Diceros bicornis minor: one gene and its partners. The protein of the gene in region 1 purifies or fractionates together with the protein of each later gene. This does not show direct contact. Links are inferred from orthologs where the notes say so. Each region holds a gene or a part of one and is shown on either strand. Other genes may lie near its edges.

Region 1 (7,779 bases):
ATTTTAGCTGACTAAACCCATTCTTCTAGCCTACCATAAATAATCAAGACTTTTTAATTTTCATGGGGTTATCCTCTCAAAAAGCTTCCACCTAAATAAGGACCCAATCATATTTTAAATTCCATTTCTGAGTGTATTAGGCTGCATTTCTTTCAGTATAACCTGTTGCAGTTTCCATTTATAGTTTATGCTTTATTTTCTTTTCATACTGTACTTCAGTGTTTAACAAAACATACTGATGATCACTCTCCTGCCCCATCAAATTATTGGAGGGTCTTTTAAGGGGCTATGTTTTGGTAATTAAACATTTTATTTTTTTAAGAAGAAACTGTCATTAAGTTAAAAATTCCTACAGATCTGAGAACTGTTGGCTATTTCTAAAAAGCTCCATACATTGGTCAAATAAATCACAATATTTATAGATCTTTGCAGTGTTTCAGTATGTGTACAAGATTTTCCTTAGGAATGGGAAAAAATACCATATTTACTTGCTTACCACACACATATACTGAAAAGGAGATATTACTTTTTTTTCTTTTCCTTTCAAACTTATCAGTAACAGTGACTAAATGAAGGCTTCATAGGTTAGGCTGAAGAACTCTAAATGACTCCATTTGTACATATTTTAGCATATGACTTTAGGCTTCAAGGTAGCCTTGACGTCACAAGGCTGTTGCTGTGGCTCCAGCCATCACATCCATGTTCCAGGCAAGAATAGGACTCGAGTCAGCCCTGCCAGTACCCTATCACCAGACACATAAATAAGGAGTTTTCCTGGAAGCTCTATACAACACCTTCCACCCACACACCATTGCCCTATACTTAGTCACCTCTATCTGCAAAGAAAGTTGTGAAATAAAATTTTTCACTGGGCACAAAATCAGGTTTCTGTCACTAAGAAAGAAGGAGAGAAAGGGAATGGAATAGGCAACCAGCATTATCTGCCACATTTTCATTTTTAGCATGTTTCCTTACACAGCCTATGAGCTCATAGAAGGTTGAGATTATGTTATATTCATATTTGCAATCTCAGAACCTAGCACAACACCACTGTTTATTATGTTTTTTATTATGTTTATTAATTAAAGAAGAAAATGGAAATCTTAGCTAGTTACAGGTTAGAAGGAGGAAGATTGAAGACAACATAACAGGTGAACACACAGCATTGGTTTATTCCATTTATATTGTCATTCATTCATTTAATTGTTATTTCAGCTAGTATTAACTGAGCTCCCAGTCTGAGCCAGGCCCTGTGTCAGGCATGGGGGATACAGGGGTAACTAATCTCTGGCTGTAAGAAGGAGCAGGGGCGAGGCTGGGGGAGCACAGAGAGGGCTCCACAGGAAACAAGCACTTGTAGGGTAATGTGGCAAGGGAACTGAGACGTGGTCCTGACCCACCTTCTGAGAGGTTAGGAAGCTGTAAGTGGTCTAGTGAAACACAGACTGGGAAAGAAGTACGGTAAGAGGAGGAAAGACACGTGGGGCTAGATAATAAAGAACCCGAGATATGCAGAAGTCCATAATTTATTCCTGCCAGCACACAAACCTATTTGTTTTGACAAAATGTTTGTTTCTATGGCTACCTTGGCCTTCCTCATGAAGGGATTTCCCAACACTTTGCCCTTGATGGATCTGACCCACCGACAATTCCTTTCTGGGTCTAAGCTTCTTGGCTGGTCTAAACTGTAGTCACAACTGTGTTCCACAGAGCTTATCTGAGCATGGAGCAAATGTCTTCCCAGCATCCCATCTTACAGGGTGGTCTAGATACATATTTCCCAAACTTGGCAATATGACTCCACTGGACACGATAAAAAAGAGTAGTCAGAGATTTCCAGAGAAAGGGATTTATCCTCAAGAACTGCAGATGTGAACCTGATTTTCTTAGTGTGCTAACATCTTGGGCTTCAGTTACATAGGTCAACGAAGGGATATAGGTTTAGTTGAACAAGTCACCACTTCAGCAATCTTATAGTCAAATAAGTTATCCCAATGACGATTTGACTAGTGATGAAGACAGTCATCTTTTCCTGCCAATAATTCAGTTCAGTTCAGTTCATAAGATATATGGCTATAAACGGATCTACATCAATTCCTATTTTCTTTCCCTATTTTAGAGAAAGAGATGTCCACTTAACCACGAAGCAGAGGTCACAAAGAGAGAGAGAGAGAAAGATTTGAAGATGCTATGCTGCTGGCCTTGAAGACAGAGGAAGAGGCCACAAGCCAAGGAATGCAGGCCGCATCTAGAAACTGGAAAAAGAAAGGAAATGGATTTTCCCTTAGAATCTCCAGAGAGAACAGAGGTCACACCTTGATTTTAGGATTTCTGACCTCCAGAACTGTAAGATTACACATTCTTGTTGTTTTTGGCCACTAAATTTGTGGTAACTTGTTTACAGATAGCAATGGGAAACTAATAACACATAATAACATATCTCTAGGTGCTGTTCCCCCACAAACACCCCTGTTCATTCCCACTGCTCTCCACATAACTCTCTCTCCCTTGGGATTCTCCTCTTTTCTGAATCCACCCTCTCAGATTGTTTTCTTAAAAATCAAATCTCATTATGTCACAGGGTTTGAAGTGCATGAATATGCACTGCTTCTAGTTATGTTGCTTTCTGGGAATATAATTAGAATCTAGAAATAAGGGTTGTTTACAAACCCTATCAAGGGCATTTGGTGTGATCTCAGGAGGGCTTAACAGGGGTGTGATTATAGCTAAGAAAGCTTACAACAAATTGTACTATATGCTGAACAAAGACCGCATCAACCACATGGAGCTGAGGTAGGGAAGAGGTTTTCCTGGTTATCCAGGACCGAAAGAGGTAAATTCACTGACTTCAGCAGCCATCAGTAAGGCACACTCTAGTTTGAGGCGGGGATACCTCACCAGGTCCCTGGATCCTAGTAAGAGCTTCCCCTAAATAGTGGACATGCTTATTCAATCATGGTAAGTTTCATCCTGATTTAAATGCTGGTCACACGAAAGTTGGTTGTCATGAGTCAGTCAACTTATTCACCTCTGGATGCATGATAAAATCGGGTCAGGACCCTACTGGTGACCAATAGAAACCAGATTAAGATTCTTCTACTCGGTAAGATCCTGAATCCTGGTTTAACAGTAGCTACACTCCTGCAGGCTATTACTCACCCCTGTTTCAAAACCTCCACAAAAGAGGGATGACTATCACAGCAAAAAAAAAAAAGGAGGAAAGTTATAAGAAGAAAGGAGAGGTCAACAATAGCAAATGCCACAAAGGGCACCACAAGGTGGGCATTACATTTTTCCATTAGATTTGGCAATCAGGCGGTGACTGATGTTCAGTGGAGTGAAAGGTTGACAAGGGAACGAGAGCTTAGGAAATGTTAACCTGAAGGCTGTGGAACCTCTGAAAAGAGGAACCATGCCCTACAGAGCCATTTTTAGATAAAGTTCCCACAGGTTATGCATTTGAATCAGAGAACTCGTCTAGTCCCCAAATCCTCCGAATGTTGTCTAGCCAGAGTCCAGTCTTACCATCTCTCTCCTCAGTTCACCTGAGGTAGAGGAGCTAATGAGCTGTGCAATAACTAAAGGTCGAAAAACAAGAGGAAGAAACAAAAGGCCTACAAACCCAAGCTCAGAACGAACAAAACAAATCAAGCCCTGAGCAAGATGACCCGTAACAAGTGCTTTAAATTTAATATCCTTGTTTTGATGATTAAAAAACGAGTGTCTGGAGAATTAGAAGGGGCATTTTATAATTGATGCTTCCTTGCGTCACATCCATTAACCTCACCCCATCTCCCTCCAAATTAACAGCTAATGCTGACTTGCGGGCAAAAGACGGAATTTTGTCCAGTGGCTAGAGTAATCACATACCATTAAAAAAAAGGTGGGATAGTGAAAACAACCTACACATCTGCATTTCCAGAGGAAAGCAGTGGTTTCCTTCCCTATTTGCTCTATTGCAAGGTAGGTGAGAGGGGTGGGGGGGGGAGCGGTTTTCTGAATCTGAGCCCAGCTCTTTCTAAACTTGGTTACTCACGTCTGATTCATTCGCTGTGTTTTCGTCTCCTGTCTCTGTCATTGCCTGCTGCTGAGAAGGGGGTCGCTGAATCACTGCCACTCCAGATGAAAAGCAATTCAGACCCAGTCCTTGGGGGATGGAAGGGTGGAAGGGCTTTTTTTTTTTTTTTTTTTTTTTACGCGTCTGCAGAAAAGCCTCCTACTTTCCGGGGTGACCGGAGAGGGCAGTTTTACAAGTTTCAGCCCCGGGCTATGGGAGATTTTGCTCCTGGGAGAGTCAGTGAGGCCCTGGTCACCTCACTATTCGTGGCTTTCTGGGCCCCAGGCCTCGGTGGTCGGGGCGTGCGTGGCGGGCCGTGCTAGGGCGGCCGGGGCGAGCCCGGCCCGGTGGGCTCCGGCGGTCGCGCCGCGCTCCCCGCCGCTTTAAAAGCTCCCACAATGCCGCGCTGGCGTCCCAGTTCCGTTACACTGTCTCTCCGGGCGCCGGCGAACCGGCGAGGCGCGGGCGGGGGAGCCGGCAGCGGCGGCTGTAACCCGAGCGCCCGGCCGAGGGGGGCGCCCCCGCGCCGCTGCTCTCGCGCGCGCAGCCCGCCGCCCGGAGAGGGGGCGGAGCCGCCGGCTGCCCGGCCCGGCCCGGCCCCCAGCCCGGCCCCCAGCCCAGAAGCACCGGCCGCGGGAGCTCGCCGGCCGCCAGCTCGGCCGCCCGCGCTCGCCCGGCGCCCCGCTCCTCGCCGAGCCTCGCCCGCCTGCCCGCGGCAGCGGCGGCGGCGCTGGGGGCGGCTCCTGCCGGCGGCGCAGCGGCAGCCCGCGCGCTCGCAGCCCCGGCACCCCGGCCCGGGGCGTCCACGCTCACCTAGCGCCGGCCCGGAGGTGCGCGGAGAGGGCGCGCCGGGGAGCCGGGGCCTCCGGCCGGTGCGCCGCGCGCGGCCCGCGGAGCGCCGCGGAGGGAGGCGCGCGGGGCTGCGCGGCCGCGGACAGGCGCTGGGCGGCCGCCGGGCTCCGGGCGCCGCCGCGTCCCCAGCGCCCCGGCCAGCCCCGCCGGGCGGCCTGCGGGGGCGGCGCAGTTGCGAAACTGAGTGAGTATTAACTTTACTCCGCGGCCGCGATTTCTGGGCAGCGTCCGGGACCCCTCCCTCCTTCTCCTGGAGCCTCGGGGCTCCCCGCTTCTCGCCCCCTCACCCCTCTTGTGCACCTGGGGTTTCTTCGCCCTCTCCGTCCCCCACCCGGTTCCCGCCGCGGGCTCCCACTGCCTCCAGATCACCTTTTCCCGGTCGTGTTCCCCTAGTTGAGCCTTCTCCCCGCTGCACACACGCGCCTCGGACTGAAAAGTAACGAGCTTGTTCCCTGCTTCTCTGTTTCCTCCCAGTGTCCTTGGCAGGGGAGTTTAGAGGCCACTTTTGTTGGGCAGGGAAATGTATGTCTGGCTTCTTTAATATTTTTCTTTCCAGATGGAAATCGGATGCGCGCTGGCCGGGTGGCGGTTTGGTGAAAGCTTATTTTTTCCTCTGAAAAAAATGATTGGTGTATAGGTTTTTAAATTTTGTTTGAACGATTCACCATCCTCCGTCCCTGTTTCTCCTTACTGCCAACCCATCTGGGGAGGGGAGTCCAGAAGAGGGGACTTCCAGAGTAATTCCGTTTTGCAAACTAGAAACTTTCAGAGGGTAGAGGGCAGAAATCTTAGTAAGATGCAACCTGAAGGGACTTGAGCTTTGAACGTGGGTCCTTGTGCGGCACTGGGTCTTACAAGCCGAGTACCTGGATTCGTAATCGAGTGTTGCGTTGTTATTTTAGCATCAGAGAGCCGCATGGTGTTGCTAAACCACTACTTTTTCAGCATCAGATGGCATCTTAAGCAGTGCAAGCGTTGAATATAATTGCGGATCAGTATTGCCCATGATCTTTAGGGATTTGGAAGGGAAATAGATGCAAGCCACGTTTCGTAGCTGATTTAAACCCGTCAAGTTAACCCTGTCAATACATCAAAGCATTGCATTTTTAAAAAATTCCTCCAGCCAGGTGACAGCGAGGACGAACATTTGTGGATTTTCCAGTGTAATGTGGCTCAGCAATTCTTCCTTAGATCTGTTGTGTCCTCAGGAAGCACCTTCAAATATGTGTAGATCTCTGCTTTTCTGTCAGTTGGATTAACCACTCATTCTAGTAGGGGGCACCCGGTAGTTGGATTTTTTTTTCCAAGTCTTTCATTTTTTAGATTGCCAGGAGTTGGTGATCATGTTATGAAGGAACAGAAAAATGAGAAGCTTTCGTAATGGATTTTTTAGCATGCTTTCCTTTGCCTGGATGAGGCAGGAGTGAATGCCAGCTAGCCCTCTGCAGGGAGAGGTACCGGGTGGACACAAGACTCAGGAAGCAGGGCACAGCACCATCATTTTGGAGGATTTGTGTGAGTTTTTATCTTTTAGTGGGCATATTAATGGTCCTTTTAATTTCATTTATCTCCTTGGGGAGCTCTCCCAAAACTATAAAAATTACATGTGACTGTACCCCACTTTAAGAAGACTGAACATAATTTGATGATTATTCTATTGAAGAATTAGACCCAACAAAATATAATTTGTCACACACATGACGAAGCCTTTCGAAAATCTCCCACTTCCTCATTTTGTCTCCTTTTAAGAGTCTCAAGCTGGTACTTTCAATAATAGACACAGTTGGCAGTAATGCATTGAGTTCTTTGTAGATTCATTGATTGAGCCTAATTTCTGGGCTTCAGTAGTTGAGGAGGGCATCAGAGAGCCCAGGGAGGGAGCAAATCATGGAACTGTGCACATAGGAAAGGCATTTCAGTTTGCAGAAGTGTCAGCATGTTACAGGGAAAAGCAGTTAGAAAGAAGGGAATGTTTAAGTTGTTTTTAGGGTGCATGTTGACTGAATTTGGCATTTGGTTGAGATATTTTGGAATTGCAGATTTTAAATTCTACACAGTTGCGCTATCATTTCTTTTTGCGTAACATTTCATTTTTTTAAGGTTTCGATTTTTTAATGTGAATCTCAACGCTTGGCCTTTGTAGCCTTCTGTACTGGTGGCTTGCATTAATTTTTGACTTGAATGCCTGGGTCATTTTGAGAAATGATTAGTTTTTCAAAATTTCTTACTCATTAAGTGATCTATCTTACGTTGATGTATGTCATGACTTGAAAGTAAAAATATTATTTGCTGCTGGATATTGTTGCTCTTTTCATTATGGTTGATTCCTGGCATAATGGCTTTGCTCATTTATTGTAAAACATTAAGGTCCTAGATATTTTGCTAGTGTCCAAAACATTGCAAAACTCTGCAGGTAGAAGTGGAGTGGGAATGGGCGTGGAACAGGAAAACACTATGCATCATAAATCTGAGGATTTGGATTTAAAAAATAATGTATCACCTGTTTACTCTCCTTGGATGCTGGGTTGCTCCAACCCTAAATAGATTTCAAAATTCAAAGTGTAGAGATCATTTCCAAGAACTCTGTATGGTGGAAAGAATGCTTACCCCACAGCCAGCCAGCCAGCCAGCCAGACTTGGGTGGCAAGTGTGCCTTTTCACGTGGAACTGGATGAGCTTGACCAGGCTGCTTCAGCCTCTGTGCTCTGCAGTTTGCTTTCTGTGAAATGGGGATACTCCTACTAGAAGGGGTGCTGTGATAAGAACACCTAATACAGTGCCTGGCACATCTTAGCCCATAAATGGCAGCATCTCAGACTTCTCCAGAACTGAGCTCTTGATGACTCAACCTTTCAACTGTTCCTCCTCTG
Region 2 (7,992 bases), on another chromosome or scaffold:
AATTTTCAAAGTATGACTGAATTTTAAAACTCCTGTAAATGTCTTCTTTATTCTTCATCATTAACTTGCTAAGGGTAAGAACTGGGTAATACAATACCATTCCTACACACGTGGGGTGTGTATTTATTTCAGGGTGTGCATGAATGCTGCTGGATAGAGTTGAAATTATAGTCCACGTGGTCACAACTGCCCATTTGCAGACAGGCACAAAGCCCAGGTGGATCCTAATTGATTCTCAGAACTCTCTGGGGTTTTTCAAAACCAATGGAATCAATCAACTGTAAAACAGAAGAAGAAGTAAAATAAGGGTCATAATTTTTTACCTGAAATATGCAGAATTTAAGAAAGTAAACACATTGGAAAGTGTTTGTGTAACATCTGACTCTTGGCTTGAGTGATTTTGCTTCTCTTTGGCACTGGGTTGCTTTATGCTCACCTCAGGCCAGAAGCAATCGGATCAAGCTGAACACTTTACAGACGTGAAGGTAGCCTGGTGTCTAACCATGCGACTTGATGGTTAGACATTAGGTGATTATATTAGTCAAAGTAGATTCATTATTTGTGATGAAATTTTATGAATTTGACTCAAGTCACCAAAGTGTCTGGCATCTAAAATTTACACAGCATTAGTTTTTCATCAATTATTAATATAAAGGGAATCCCTATATCTAGAGAAACGAGGTAGATTTAAATAAAGCTTCAAGGCTTTACCTAGTTAGTTGAATAGACATTAATTATTGGTTCTATGGATCACATTTTTGAAAAATTGCCTAAACCCTTATTAACTATTGAATATTGGAAGGAGTTGATGTAAATAAAGTGGTACCCATATACCCTGATGCTGCCTCTTTTATGAAGGCAGGCCTCACTCCCCGGTATTGCCACACACACTAGCTGGCACTTAATATTTAATGTCTTGAGTTACAGTTATTGGAGTAGCTGTCTTATTCTAACCTCTATATTGTCTCTTTCTTACTCCCTTTTATAATTCTGTAATATTTAGCCAGTGCTTTCCACATGGAAGGTCTTCTGGAACTGTATGTGGAATCAAATTAAAGTGAATTGAGTACATGAGCCTTGGTCCATCACTGACTAGTTGTATCAACAGTCCCATCATTTCTCTGAGCCTTGGGTTCCTCCTAGCCCTGTTCTCCATGCCCACCCCCCCCCACCCCCCCAGTGCCCCAGCATCATCATTCACTATCCTGTCCTGGACTTCCTTACCTCTCACCTACAATATGGTTACTGGACTCCCATATGGCAGCACGGACTAAGTGGTTTTTTTTTTAAATTTTTTAATTGATGTTTTAATGGTTTTTAACATTGCGAAATTTGGGGTTGCGCATTTTTGTTTGTCCATCACCATATATATGACTCCCTTCACCCTTTGTGCCCACCCCCACTGCCCCTGGTAACCACAGTACAGTTTTCTCTGTCCATGTGTTGGTTTATATTCCACATATGAGTGAGATCATACAGTGTTTGTCTTTCTCTCTGGCTTATTTCACTTAACATAATACGTTCCAGGCCCATCCATGTTGTTGCAAATGGGACGATTTTATCTTTTTTTGTGGCTGAGTAGTATTCCATTGTATATATATACCACATCTTCTTGATCCAATCGTCAGTCGAGGGACACTTACGTTGCTTCCACTTCTGGGCTATGGTGAATAATGCTGCAATGAACATAGGGGTGCATAAGCCTCTTTGGATTGTTGATTTCAGGTTCGTTGGATAGATTCCCAGTAATGGGATGGCTGGGTCATAGGGCATCTCTATTTTTAAGTCTTTGAGGAATCTCCATACCGTTTTCCATAGAGGCTGCACCAGTTTGCATTCCCACCAGCTGTGTACGAGGGTTCCTGTTTCTCCACATCCTCTCCAACACTTGTTGTTTTTTGTCTTGGTGATTATAGCCATTCTAACGGGCGTGAGGTGGTATCTTAGTGTTGTTTTGATTTGCATTTCCCTGATGATTAGTGATGTTGAACATCTTTTCATGTGCCTATTAGCCATCTGTATATCTTCTTTGGAGAACTGTCTGTTCATTTCCTCTGCCTATTTTTTGATCAGGTTGTTTGTTTTTTTGTTGTTCAGTTGTGTGAGTTCTTTATATATTATGGAGATCAACCCCTTGTCAGATGTATGTTTTGCAAATATTCTCTCCCAGCTGGTGGGTTGTCTGTTCATCTTGATTCTGGTTTCATTTGTCTTATAGAAGCTCTTTAATCTGATAAAGTCCCACTTGTTTATTTTTTCTTTAGTTTCCCTAGTCTGGGTAGGCATGTCATCCGAAAAGATTCCTTAATAACCAATGTCAAATAGTGTGTTGCCTATATTTTCTTCTATGAGTTTTATAGTTTCAGGTCTCACCTTCAGGTCTTTGATCCATTTTGAGTTAATTTTTGTGAACGGCGATAGCAGATGGTCCACTTTCATTCTTTTGCATGTGGCTGTCCAGTTTTCCCAACACCATTTATTGAAGAGACTTTCCTTTCTCCATTGTATGTTCTTAGCACCTTTGTCGAAAATTAGCTGTCCGTATATGTGTGGTTTTATTTCTGGGCTTTCAATTCTATTCCACAGATCTGTGTGTCTGTTTCTGTATCAGTACCATGCTGTTTTGATTACTATTGCTTTGTAGTATGTTTTGAAGTCAGGGATTGTGATGCCTCCTGCTTTGTTCTTTTTTCTTAGGATTTCTTTAGCTATTCGGGGTCTTTTGTTGCCCCATATAAATTTTAGTATTCTTTTTTCTATTTCTGTGAAGAATGTCATTGGGATTCTGATTGGGATTGCATTGAATCTGTAGATTGCTTTAGGTAATATAGACATTTTAACTATGTTTATTCTTCCAATCCACGTGCATGGGATATCTTTTCATTTCTTTATGTCATCATGGATTTCTTTCAATAATGTCTTATAGTTCTCATTGTATAGGTCCTTCACCTCCTTGGTAAGATTTATTCCTAGGTATTTTATTCTTTTTGATGCAATTGTAAATGGTATTATCTTTTTGAGCAGACTAAGTGTTTTAATACATTATTTTATTTAATCCTCATAATTTATGAGATGGAGAGCATCAGGCCCGCTTTTCAGCTGATCAAGCTGAGGCTGGAGAGAGACTGAGTGCCACGTCTAAGGCACGAGTAAATGGTAGGATTGGGATCTGAACTCAGACCTGTGTGACGTCTGACGTACTCCGGCTGTTCCTGAACTTGCCTTTCAATCAGAATTATTTTGAGAAAGGCTCACTCTAAACCAGTATACCCCTCGCTCCCCAATGCATCAAAACAAAAACAACATCTGTAATTATCAGTAATTTTTGTGGATCCAAGTATTAATACAAGAGTGAAGAAGACCTCAGCAAGAGTTGTTGTCATAGCTGTCACAGAGTTTATTGGGTGGAAGTGTTGAACGTTGTGGTCAAATAGAAGAAGAGCATGGTGAGCCTTTCCCATGAAGGTGTGGAAAGAAACCTGGAGTCTACTTCTGCGTCTGCCTCAAGCTTTCTCCTTGGCCTTGGGCAAGTGGCTTCAACACTGGGTCAGTATCCGGGTAACATGGGAATGCTGACACACTGCCTATTTACTGCACTGGTTTGCTAGGACAGGTGATCCAGTGTGTTGGTCAAGGGCTGTAGATGAAAGGAAGTACAATGTTTTATAAGACAAATTGCACTATATCTGGGGCAGTGTGGGGCAGCGGCAAGTGCAGAGATTCTGGAAAGCAGACGAATCTTATTGTCCTGCCTCCTTATTTCAAAATGGGAAGTGGAGTGGGATGGACGAATGGTCACCAGCTCTTCCTGCTCTAAACGCTGACGTTCTACTTGAGCTCCCGGGAGCTAACTGCTTTCAGATTCTAGAAACAACTAGCAAAAGTGAATTTACTGTCGTTTGGGACAGAGGTGGGCCAACGAATCTTTGCCATTCCATAAACACAATAACACACAGTTATTAAGGAATCACAGCTCATAGCTAAGACAGAGATGAGCTTCAGTTACTTTTCTTCACTTGGTGCACGGTCTTGTAAAACTTGTCTCACGTCCTGCATGCACTTAACTCATTATAGAGCTGCTTTCTTGTGCCGGGTTGAAGTGCCTCCGCGAAGCGCCGGCGTGTCGTGGGGATCCCCTTGCTTTCCCCCAAGGCATTCTGAGTATATTGTTCACAAGTTTGCGTTAGGATTGCTTATGTTGCAGAATTTTTAAGAAATGAAATTATCTGAATTGCTGATGTTTAAGTTCTACGTATTAAAGCGGGTGGGTCACCACGGGGTTAGAGGAAACTTCAAGGTAAACAGTGGCCTCAGGAGAAAGACTGGGTCGAGTCAAAGCTTCCCCGACGTCTCCCCAGAGCAGATGATTAATTTTTGCTTTGACCATAACAACCTCTGCCCAGCCTTGCAGCCTAGCGAGCGAGCCAGTGCAAAACCCTGCCAAGCTGCGGGTCGGGGGGAGGCGTCCGCGGCGCGTGGGCCCCAGCGGGAGAAACCTCGGCGGGCACACCCCGGCCCGACCCGTCCCATCCTCCTGGGGGGCCGTGGAGACGGCTCCTCCCCAAACGTCTCGGCGCGTTCAGTCTGCCGCGCCGAGAGTAAACCGCTTGCTCTAGAAGCGATTTCACCCGAACCCCTCCAGCCGGAGGAGGGGGATTAAAAGTGACAAAGAAAGAGGGGGGGCTCCGGAGAGAGCTCTGGGGGCATGGAGCGGGCGTCCCCGAGGAGGGGCGAGCGCAGCCCTGCAGCGCGCGGGGGCGCGTGAGGGGGGCTGGAGGGGGACGCGGTGCCGAGGCTCGGGGGGCGGCGGGGCGAGGGGCGGCGCCCGCGGCAGGGCCGGCCCAGGCAGCAGGCTGCCCGCGGAGGCGGGCCGTGCGGCGAGGGGTCCGCGCCCCGGGGAGGGAGGCGGCGGGGCCGGGGTGCGCCGCCGTGCGCTCCGCCCCGCGCGGGGAGCGGGCCGCGCCTCCCCCTGCCGCATGTGCGCGGTGTTGTGTGCCCGGCCTGCTCCTCCTCCTCCCTCCCCTCGCCGCCGTCCCCTCCCCCAGCGGCCCCGAGCGAGCGCGAGCGCCACACAGCCCCGGGCCGCCGCCGCCGAGCGCGCCGAGACGCCGAACAGGTGGCCGGAGGCTGCGGGCGCCGCGGCGGGGAGAGGCGAGGCGAGCCCCGGGCGAGGCGAGGGCGGCCGGGCCGGGCATGCGAGCCGAGCCGTCCCCCGGCGCCGCCGCCTGCCCGCGCCCCTAGCCACCCGCGCGCCCGTGCAGCGGCCCCGCCGCGCCCAGCGTCCAGCGCCCCGCGCCCCGGCCCGGGGCCGCTCCGGCCGCGCTCAGCGAGGGGCGCGGGCCGGCCCGCGGCGGCGGCGGCATGAAAGTGACGGTGTGCTTCGGCCGGACCCGGGTGGTCGTGCCGTGCGGGGACGGCCACATGAAAGTTTTCAGCCTCATCCAGCAGGCGGTGACCCGCTACCGGAAGGCCATCGCCAAGGTGAGGGGCCGGGGGCGCGGGGGTGGGGGCGGGAGAGAGGGGGGTGGAGGGGGAGGAGGAGAGGAGGGAAGGCGCCGGGATCAATATGGCGCTTCCTGGAACGGGGAGGAGGGAGCCGGAGGGGAGGCGGGGAAAGGGAAAGTGCGGCGGCCCGGCCGGCCTCGCGGGCGGCCCCCGCCCCGGGCTGCGGGCGGTAAAGTTCTCCGCGCGGGCCGGGCCGGCGGGCGAGCGCGGGCGCAGCCCCCGGTGACGGCGCCGGCCCCCGCGGCGCCCTCCGGGCCGATCGCCGCCGCCTCTCCCTCGGGGCCGGGGACGCGGGGGCCGGCGCCGGCCACAGGCGCCCCCGGAGCCGCCCGGGGAGCAGAGCCGAGCCCCGCGCGCCGGGCGCGGGCGCAGCCTGGCCGGACGCCTCTCCCCGGGCTGCCCGCTGCCGGCAGTTGAAATCCAGCCCCAGGCCTCGCCCCGCTCCCAGGCCCCGCGGGCCAAGGCTGGGAGAGGGAACTTTTTTGGTGGAGAAGAGTTTAATTATTGCACACACGATGGAGAGCGGCTGCGTTTCTGCTCCTTGGTCTCCCTGCGTCCGGGCGGGGAGAGAGGCGAAGCGGGAGCCCTTTCTTGCCTGCCGGCCGCGGGCGGGGGCGGCCCTGCGCAGCGTGGGGGTGCTGGTGGGCGACAGTCAGCGGCCTGCGGTCGGGAAGGCGGCTCCGAGGGGGACCCCACTTCCCCTGGCTCGCGAGCCTCGGTTGCGCGCAGAATCGCGGTGATTAGGAGGCTCCGGTGCAGAGCTGCTTTACAAAGCACAGTCCTGCATTCACTCGCTGCATTAAAAGTTGTCCTGCAGGGACCTTGGCGTTTACCTATCTGGGACTAGTTCCATATGGTGTCGAGGCCGCCGAGCCAGGGCCTGATCTCGGAGTTGAGTCGATTTCTCTTTTTCTCCGTGGAGTGATAACATTGTATCCACTTAACTGCATTCCTCTACAATGTGTCAGAAGTGAAAAGGCATTTTGTTAAATTGTTTTCTCGGCTGTGTCTGTGTTTGACAACAGCCCACGCCTCCGAAGTTTCTCTCAAGCACCTTGAGGATATTTCCTTTGCCGTAGAGTAATGTTTGGTGGAAAGCACATTAACTTGTTAAATTTCCTGTTTGTTCCCGAGAGTGGAGTGACCTGGCCCTGTGGGCTTTGGGGCAGTGGGTGAGGGGGACCCGGGCTTTGTCAGCCTAACTGCGTTTGTACATGGTGCTCAAGTGGCGTCCTCCAATTCTCTCTGAAATTAAGAAGAAAAACTTTTTTACCCTGTTTTCTTTTTAGTATATATTAGAAAAAATAGCATAAATTTGGCCTTTTAAAGATAATGATGGGGACGTTAAGGGACCTGACAAAATGATGGAAGATGTTGACTTTAACAGCTCTAAAATGTTCCTTACAGTTGGTTGAACTCGTATTGAAAAGCAAATAAAATGTGTGGAAATTGGGCACCTGTTTATCTTGCAACACTGACAAGGGGAGGAAAAACCCCTCTAAACCCCTTAGCATTTTAAAGGATTGTTTATGAATGACAGTTTATGATCTAAGTGTAATCTTATGTTTATGATCTAAGTATAATTAGTAATCAGGTTGCACATGTACTCTGGAAACCAACAAAATAAGTTGTGAAAGGAAAGAGAAATACCATAATATATACTCTGCAGTGTGCCTAGGTTACTGAATAGGGAGAGGTGATGGACATTTTCTTTCATTTTACTAGTTTTATCCGCTTAAAATTAGTCATATGTCATTAGGCACACAATGGGCATTGGTTAGATAGCCTGTTTGGGAGACACAAATGTGGTTGTTTGATTGATTGAGTCATTCATTCATTCTACAGAAATTCTTAAGCATTTACTATGTCCAAAGCTTTGTTTTGGGTGCTGGGCATCTGCGGGACCCACTGGCTGCTTTGTGGAAATTGGGCTGTGAGAGTCTAGGACAGAAGGTTTCATGGTCCTCCAGTGAAGGAGGCTGGAGGTGTGGACTGGCGTGTTGTGGTGCAGTGAGAAGAGGATGCTTCTGGGATGTGGGGTAGATGGAGTTGAGAGTCTTCAGTGATAGATCTGGACCTTGTTTTTTAAATGTTAGTGGTGGTTGTTTCATAGTGACCTGGGAGCACAGTAAAGGGAGTACAGTTTTCTTAAGCGAGTCTGAGAAGGCACCTCAAAGAGAAGGGGCATAGGAGCTGAGTTTTGAAGGGTAAGTATGAGATTACCAGGGAGAAGGAAGGAAGGAATGGTGATTCTCAGAGGGTGATGGTAGCATTGGAGGTGGATATAAATGAGAGGGAGAAGTCAGAGATGATTCATGGGGTTCCCAAATTAATTAAATGCTTTTTAAGTTCAGCTCACAGTTCAGTGGGTGAATTTTAAGACAGGTGTTGTAGTATACAAAGTCCAATCATTGGATCACAAGACTATTGACTCTCAAATGATGCAAGAGCCTGAGTATCTTCTAGGTCCATTTGTATTTTTTCCTC
Region 3 (7,257 bases), on another chromosome or scaffold:
GTTACCCGAACAATTTTAGACTTTCAGAACATTTCAACACTCACTATCTTCAGATGAACTCTTACAGATCAGAGGATTAAATCAGTAAACACGTTCGAGGGCCGGCAAGTCAAGGATTATGCAGAGCCTGGCATGGTCTTGCAGTCTGACAATGGTCACCTTCAGAGCAAAGAGGCATCTTGCAAATCAGGACGTGAAGTAAGTTACAACCGCCTGCTTTGCAAGAAAAGTGCCGGCCATCGGTGCTCTCCGAACAAGGTCACTTACAAAGTAAAACTGCCCCAAATCTCACTCTTCTCCAACAGTGTAGGAATATCAGACCAAATCAACAGCTGGCTTACTTTCTCTCTAAATCGCCCAAGTTTTACTGTGTAGTTACTGAAATAACTGAACATTAATTATATGAAGGAGTAACAACCTTAGGGTTTTCTCCTCAGCAAGGCAGAGCTTGGTTAAAAGCTCCCAAGGTGGGTTGCGGAGGGGTTGCCTCGCCTTTAGTTGAGGAAAAACTAAAAGTTTAGAGCAGAAAAGAATCGCAAAGCTGTAGTGACTAAAATCTAAACCTTTCTTAAATAAGCCTTTGAGTTGCTTTTTAGTACTCTTACTGAGCTGCTTCTCAACTAGCTTGTACGGTCGGTCCTCCACTTGAAGACGAGGCAATTTTGAACACGTAAAAAAGTCTAACAAGGTCACAAAACTCACATTCTCTCCATTTTCAGATATACTTAAATCTTAATAAAAATTTTTAGGGAAAAAGGTTTTTGGGGCATTACAAAAATCATGAATTTATGATCAACATCTTCTAACTTGGATATATACACATCCTCAATGGATCATCTTCAACCATTTCTCTGCCAATTTAACACTGATGAGAAAAAAAGGAGTTTAAGTATATTGTGTACCTAGCCTTTCCCAAGGCATGAAAATGCACAGCTTTATTATATTAATTTCAATGAAAAATGAAATATAAAAAAACCTGCTTTTCAAGTGCAACATAACACGTATAGAGAGAAACTATTAAGAAACAATGACAGATCTCATTTTTTATATGATCCAAGTTTATCAAGGGAAATTCCTTAGCACAATTGAAAAAAATAAGATCAAAATTAACCAAATTTGTTACACGAATACAGTTATGGGCAACTCAAAACTTAACAAGACTTTAATCTTAAAACTGTAATGTTTCTAATCCATGCAGAATCCAATTTTTCCTGTTTCTCAGTGAAATAAAGCCTACCCTAATCTAGCAATACATATCCCTGCACAGAGACACAGAAGCTAATTAAAAAGTTTAAAATAAAAATATTTAATAAAAAGTTCTTTTCTTATTGCAAATAGTTTTAATCAGTTTCAGACCCACTTCTGCCTCATCTAAATCAAAGAATTGTATTAACTAGTGTGAAAAGTGTGGTTCTTATAATAAATGCCAGCTCCTGAACGAATGACAAGGTTTTCACCCACAAATGGCAGCAACATTTCAAGAGCATTTCAGGGGTACATTCAGTGGGTTCTTCTTTTCTTTCAAGAAAATATAAAAGGAAAAAAACCTGTACAGATAAAGAAAAGATATTTTCAGGAGTTTCATTTTAATAACTTATTTCAAAAGATCTGCAAATTCTAAGGACACAGCTGTCCAACTGTGAACGCTCTCGACTCCGTCTCACAGCATTTCTGTTCCGACAATATTTAGGACAGTAGAAAGGCAAAAGGCAGTGAATATTCAGTCAAATCTACATTATTCAGTGCCCAAACCAAGAAAGGGATCTGAATTCTTCCCGAGTTCCGAATAAGACGTTCGCATCAGCAGAGCGGCTCGGGAACCGGGGGCAGTTAGGTTCAGCGCCCCTCTCCATAATCCGAACTTCATCCGTCCCCCGCATCACTACGAGGCACCGCACGAGTCTTAAATCAGCCAGAACGAAAGCTCTAACTTGACCTCTGCCTAACCACTGGAGATCTCCTTCCTTCACACACAGGGTGAGATGAAGGAGTTCTAGCTGCTGGCTGCCTGGATCTGAACCCTGACTGTCACTAACTGTGTGACCTTGGACAAGTGACTTCACCTGCGTCTTAGTTTCCTCTGAAAAACAGGAAAAAATAACCTCGCAAGGTTGCAGACAGAACTAAGTGAAATCTGTGTAAAGTGCTCAAAAAATGCCTGACATACGGCGCTTTAGAAGCGCTATTATTATCTTCTTAACGATGCGATGAACGCAAAGCGCTAACACAGAGCCTGGCACGTTGCAAAGACGAGAACGAAACTGTCATCTTCGCCGGTTTCACGTTCAGAAAAGAGCGCGGAGATCTCAAGACAGGGGCAACTCGGAAAGAGTATCTGGAAGGGCAGGGGCAGGTGGGTTCCAACATCCCCTTGAGACAGGAGCGTTCGTCACCAAGTACCAAAGTGGGCCCCCCGACCCCAGCCCCACAAAAAATAAAACCGAGCGAGATGGGGACGAAGCTCCCCCCCCCCCCCCGACCGCTCTCGCAGAGGACGAGGACCACAAAGTGCGGGACGCTCCGTCCGGGGGCTGGACCGGCCCGGGCCGCGGGGCGCAGGGGGTACGGCCCGGAAGCGAGCGAGTGGGCAGCGGAGTTGCCCAATTCCCGGCCAGCAGGGAGGCTGCACCCGGGCAATGAATGAGCGGGGTCCGAGGGTCCCCGGCCGGCCGAGCGCGACCCGCCGCCTCCCTCCGGCCGCAGCCCAACTCGCCGTGCTCAGCCTCCTCGGCGCCGCAAGCCCCACCGGCCCCCAACTCCCCTCCCCGCGAGCCCCGGGCCGCCCGCCGCCGCCGTCACCTTCCAGCAGCCGTTGGATGATGCTGTCGATGTTGAGCTTATCTATATCCGCCATCGCCTTCCCGCCGCAGACCCTCCCGCAGCGGCGCCGCCGCCGGCTCGCGCCCGGGACTCACACCTCCCTTCCCACGCCACGAGCACAGAGGCGGTGGTGGCGGCGGTGGCAGCAGCCGCGGCGGGTCCCCCCCCAACCGCCCCGCTCCCTGCTTCCTCCTTCTCTCCCCACTGGAACCACGAGAAGAACAAGATGGCCGCCGACTCCTGAGCCAGCCTCGGGCGGCGCACGGATGCGCGCGGGGGAGTGCAGCGGCCCGGCCGGGACTTCTTTATGGGCCATAGGGCGCGCGGGAGGGGGCGGGGCCAGGGCGCGGGGAGGGGGAGGAGACGGTTGAGCGTAACCGCGACCGCGCGCGGGATCCTTCCGCCAAACGGGCCGAGCAAATAGGCCCCCTGGCGGGAGCGTGAGTAGCAAAGTTGCACGCGGGAGTTGGGGACCGGGGAGAAAACGCCGCTGTGCGTTCCGAGGGTGGCGGCCTTCGCCGGACGCTGCTCGTTGGGGCCAGATGTTTGCAGACCTGGCCGTCTGGAAGCGCACTGAGGGAATTCGGGGGTCCTGGAGTTCACCCTTTAAGATACATCTGGGGTGAAGATGGAGTGGGAGAATAGAGGGCAGTGGGTTGATTTATTTTGAATTCAGATTTGCCGGGACTTGCGGGAAGGGAAAAGTTTATTTGGTTACTACTAAAAAAAAAAAGACCTGTCCCAGATAAATCAAAATGTGAACATTTATTCTGAGTGGTGGGAATATGGGTATCTGTATGTATTCTTTTGTGCGCTTCTGCAACTTTTACATTTGGAGAAACATTTTTTTAAATTCACCCTCAAAAAATAATTTCATCATCCTTATCTTGGGGTTATCTCTCTTGAACTCGGGAGGTTATATAATCGTCGGAACAGTTACCCTGATTCTAGCCAGAACAAAGGTGAACGAGCGTGTGCAGCAGAGAAAGGCAGAATTTGCAGATTGCGCGCGCCGCAGCTCGAGGCCGCGAGAGCGGAGCGAGTTTGCAGGAGCAGACAGCGCGGGCGGGTCCTGGCTTCTGCAGACACGCGGGGAAACCCTGGCCCTCCAAGTGCATCCCTCTCCGGGAGGTCCCCCAGTGTGCCACCTCCGGGGCTGCGCGTCGCCTTCAGCTGGGTTTGGAAGTGCAGCCTGCACTCAGCAAACACATCTGCTCTCTTCCTGACCTTTTCATTTATGTGGTTTTTTTCCTGCAGCGCTTTACAGTTTGCAAAGCCCTTTCCCTTCCCAGAGAAATTAGTTTTGTTTCTCAAGGTGCACAGGATGCACGAATTCCTATCCCTGAATGCCATCGAGGTGATTGCGCCACCGGGGCAGCCATCCTCGGGGGCGGCCTGGGCCGGGTGCGGGCTCCTTGCTGCGGGTGCGGGGCGTTGAGGTCCGGGGCTCCCCTTGCGCGGCGGAGCGGCTCACTCCACTGTCCCCGGTCGCCACCTCGCTCTCCCGTGCTGCAGCTCTGTCCACCAGAAGAAACACAAGTGTCGCTTGTCAGCCCTGGGCACGGAGCCCAGTTGATCCGGAGCCGATGCCCAGGGCTGTTGTGAACGGCTGGCTGTCAAGGTCGGGGTGGCTCTGCCGGAGTCAGGGAGACTTTGGGCTCCTCCCGAGCAGGCCGCATCATGGCAAAGTCAGTTAGAGCAGCAATATGAAAGACAGAGATTCATTCAGCAGACAAATATTTATGGAGCCCCTACTCTGTGCCAGGCATTGTTCTAGGCGGAGAAGCAAGGGTGAGCAAGATAGACAAGGCCCTTCTCTCATGGAGAGTTCTCTAGTAAGCCAGACAGACAATAAACAAAGACGCAAATAAAAATATCAGCTTCTGATAAGTGCGGTGGAAAAAAAAAACACCGCACTCATTGTCTTAGTGTGTGACAAAAATTATCCCAAGACAATCCTAGGAACTATGTCCTATTCCTATCACACCCATTTTACAGATGAAGAAAGTGAGAGGCAGAGAGGCTGGGTTGTTTGCTGAAGGTCACACAGCTAGTGAGTTACGGAGCCAGGGCTGGAACTCAGGACAGCCAGAAACAAAAGCCTGTGTTCATATGTAATACATCACGGTTGTGAATCCCTAGCACCTAGCACAACCCTGGCACACACTAGACACAGAACAAATGTGGAACCCAGTGGAACGATCTCCGCGTGTCTCTACCCACAGGAAGAGCACTGTAATTTTCCATACAAAATCGCAGGTATGTTACCATCTGTTGACACCATCAGGGCTGGCGGAGGAATTCAGACAGGACTGGGACATGGGGAGGGCCTCTGTTCACACACCATTCTCCCCTGGGCTACTCCACTCCAGAGTCCAGTTTTGCTGGCACGTGCCTAAGTGAATTAGCTGGCTCTGGGCCTGAGAGAGGTGTGAGCCCAGAGGGTAGTCCTGATCAGCTCCCAGGCACCAGCACACAACTCGGAGGAAAGAACTGATCCCCTGTTGGCCTTTTCCTGCCATTATTGACACTAGTGGCCTCCCTAAGGACCAGCAGACAAGCATTTGCCAGAAAGGCTACTGTCTACCCGGTGGAATGTCCTTTCCCCTTTCTAGGCCTCAGTTTGCCTATCTGTAAAAGGAGGAGAATGGATTAAAATGTACTTTTCGAACTGTCTTCCTTGGATCCACAGAGCTTTCTTAGGGAGCCGCTGAAGATGCTGGGGAGCCGATGGGGTTCTGGTCCCCAACCCCTCAAGTCAACCGAACAGAAGCATGGCACACAGAAAGCACTCCATCAATATTAACTATTATTGCTACTATCTGTTTTAGACATTGACCTTCCATGTACAATTTGAAGATGGAGGCTGTGGCTAAAATATTTGTGAAACAATAGTATTTCTAAGGATACTTTAGGCTTTGAGGGGAATCCCAGTGACTAAAGGGACCAGGCGGATAGCATGAAAAAATTAAGCTAGGTGGATAGGTACTGTGGTGAACTGGAGAGCGCAAGTCTCATCTAAGGAGTGGCCACTTCCCATTTTCAGTCCACTGGGGCCGTGTGGGAAACTGGGGCCCAGTGTGGCCAGATCCTCTGAGTTGTCAGGAGAACTTGAACATACGGATTTTTATGTGAAATGTTTCCATTTTAAAAAGTTCGTCATGAACTCAAAATTCTTCTAAAATACTGTGTGAGGCCAACAAAGCATATCTGGGCTCTGTTCTAGAAGGTTGGGGGTGAACTCTTCCTCCTCCCTTTTCCAAATTTAATGAACATTAGGATTATTGTTAAATGATTCAAAGAAATGGTGTTGATAAGGTTTGTCAGCAAATCTGGACCTACCTGGGTATTCTGGAGGTTTTGTACAAAGTAGGGAACCATGGGAAAAAATGTGGATGAAAGCCCTTTGACAAAGTCCACAGCTTTATTTCAACGTCCTGTGGTATTACCAGCAGACGCTGGTACTCTCTTGGCAAATGTTCATTGAGGCCTTACTCTGTATGAGAAGCTGGGGACACAGCAGTGAGCAAACCAGCATAGTCCCTGCCCTCATGGAACTCTTGGTCTAGTGGAGGAGACAGATAGGAACAGAGAAACCAATTAAAGAAGATAATGTCAGAGAGTGGTGAGTTTTATGAGAGAATCAGAAGGGGTCATGTGAACACAGACAAGAGGGACTCTGAGGATTTGACATTTGAGTCAAGATCTGAAGGATGAGAAAAGGCAAAGTCCTGGGAAGAACTACGTAGCAGAAGAGTATTCCCAAAAGAGGGAACAGCAAGTGCAAAGGCCCTGAGGTAGGAATAATCTTCCAGAGTTGGAGGAATGGAGAGAAGGCCAGAGTGGCTGGAGTGCTGTGTGAGAGGGAGGGTGTTAGGAGGGGAAGTTGAAGAAGTGGGCAAAGGCCAGACCACTTGGTGGCCACGGGAAGACATTCAGAGTATATTCTAAGCCTAATGGGAAATTACTATAGGGTTTAGGCAGAGGAGTAACATGATCTAATTAGTTTTTTAAATAAGCTTTTTATTTTGAAATAATTTTAGATTTATGGAGAAGTTGCACAGAGAGTACAAAGAGTTCCCATATACCTTTCCCTCAGTTTCCCCTTGATGGTAACATCTTACACCACTGTGGCATTGCTCTTAATTTTTCAAGACTCTTAAATCATAAAGAAGTTTTGGATCGTAGAATATCACATAACATCATTACCCACAGAGCGTCTTCTCCTAAATAAGATCTGATTTCCTCTTTGAAAGAGCCCTTTGCTGTCTGTGAGGAGAAGGGACTATAGGTGAGCAGGAGTGGAAGCTGTGAGGTTGGGAGGGGCTGATGGCAAATGTGGCATCACGGCTCTGAGCCTCAGTTTCCTCACCTACAGACTGGGGACAATATCACCCATCTCAGGCTATCGTGAGCATGTAGCTGGGGAGATAGTAA

What was found. Proteins that work in one complex are often made in the same cells at the same time.
Region 2: the proteins of RASSF8 (region 1) and PARD3 purify together in Homo sapiens (affinity purification with mass spectrometry; 4 studies listed by BioGRID and IntAct, counting the BioPlex papers as one, with this or other methods). This does not show direct contact. The link is inferred for Diceros bicornis minor from reciprocal best matches to the Homo sapiens genes RASSF8 and PARD3.
Region 3: the proteins of RASSF8 (region 1) and PPP1CC purify together in Homo sapiens (affinity purification with mass spectrometry; 3 studies listed by BioGRID and IntAct, counting the BioPlex papers as one, with this or other methods). This does not show direct contact. The link is inferred for Diceros bicornis minor from reciprocal best matches to the Homo sapiens genes RASSF8 and PPP1CC.

The regions. Positions count from the first base shown.
Region 1 is NC_080756.1:36,918,104-36,925,882, reverse strand, and holds the start of RASSF8 (ras association domain-containing protein 8), read left to right. Parts: upstream 1-4,768; 5' UTR 4,769-5,093; intron 5,094-7,779.
Region 2 is NC_080775.1:32,630,954-32,638,945, reverse strand, and holds the start of PARD3 (partitioning defective 3 homolog), read left to right. Parts: upstream 1-4,988; 5' UTR 4,989-5,361; coding exon 5,362-5,481; intron 5,482-7,992. UniProt on the Homo sapiens protein: Adapter protein involved in asymmetrical cell division and cell polarization processes. Seems to play a central role in the formation of epithelial tight junctions. Targets the phosphatase PTEN to cell junctions.
Region 3 is NC_080774.1:9,197,016-9,204,272, forward strand, and holds the start of PPP1CC (serine/threonine-protein phosphatase PP1-gamma catalytic subunit), read right to left. Parts: upstream 3,005-7,257; 5' UTR 2,855-3,004; coding exon 2,800-2,854; intron 1-2,799. UniProt on the Homo sapiens protein: Protein phosphatase that associates with over 200 regulatory proteins to form highly specific holoenzymes which dephosphorylate hundreds of biological targets.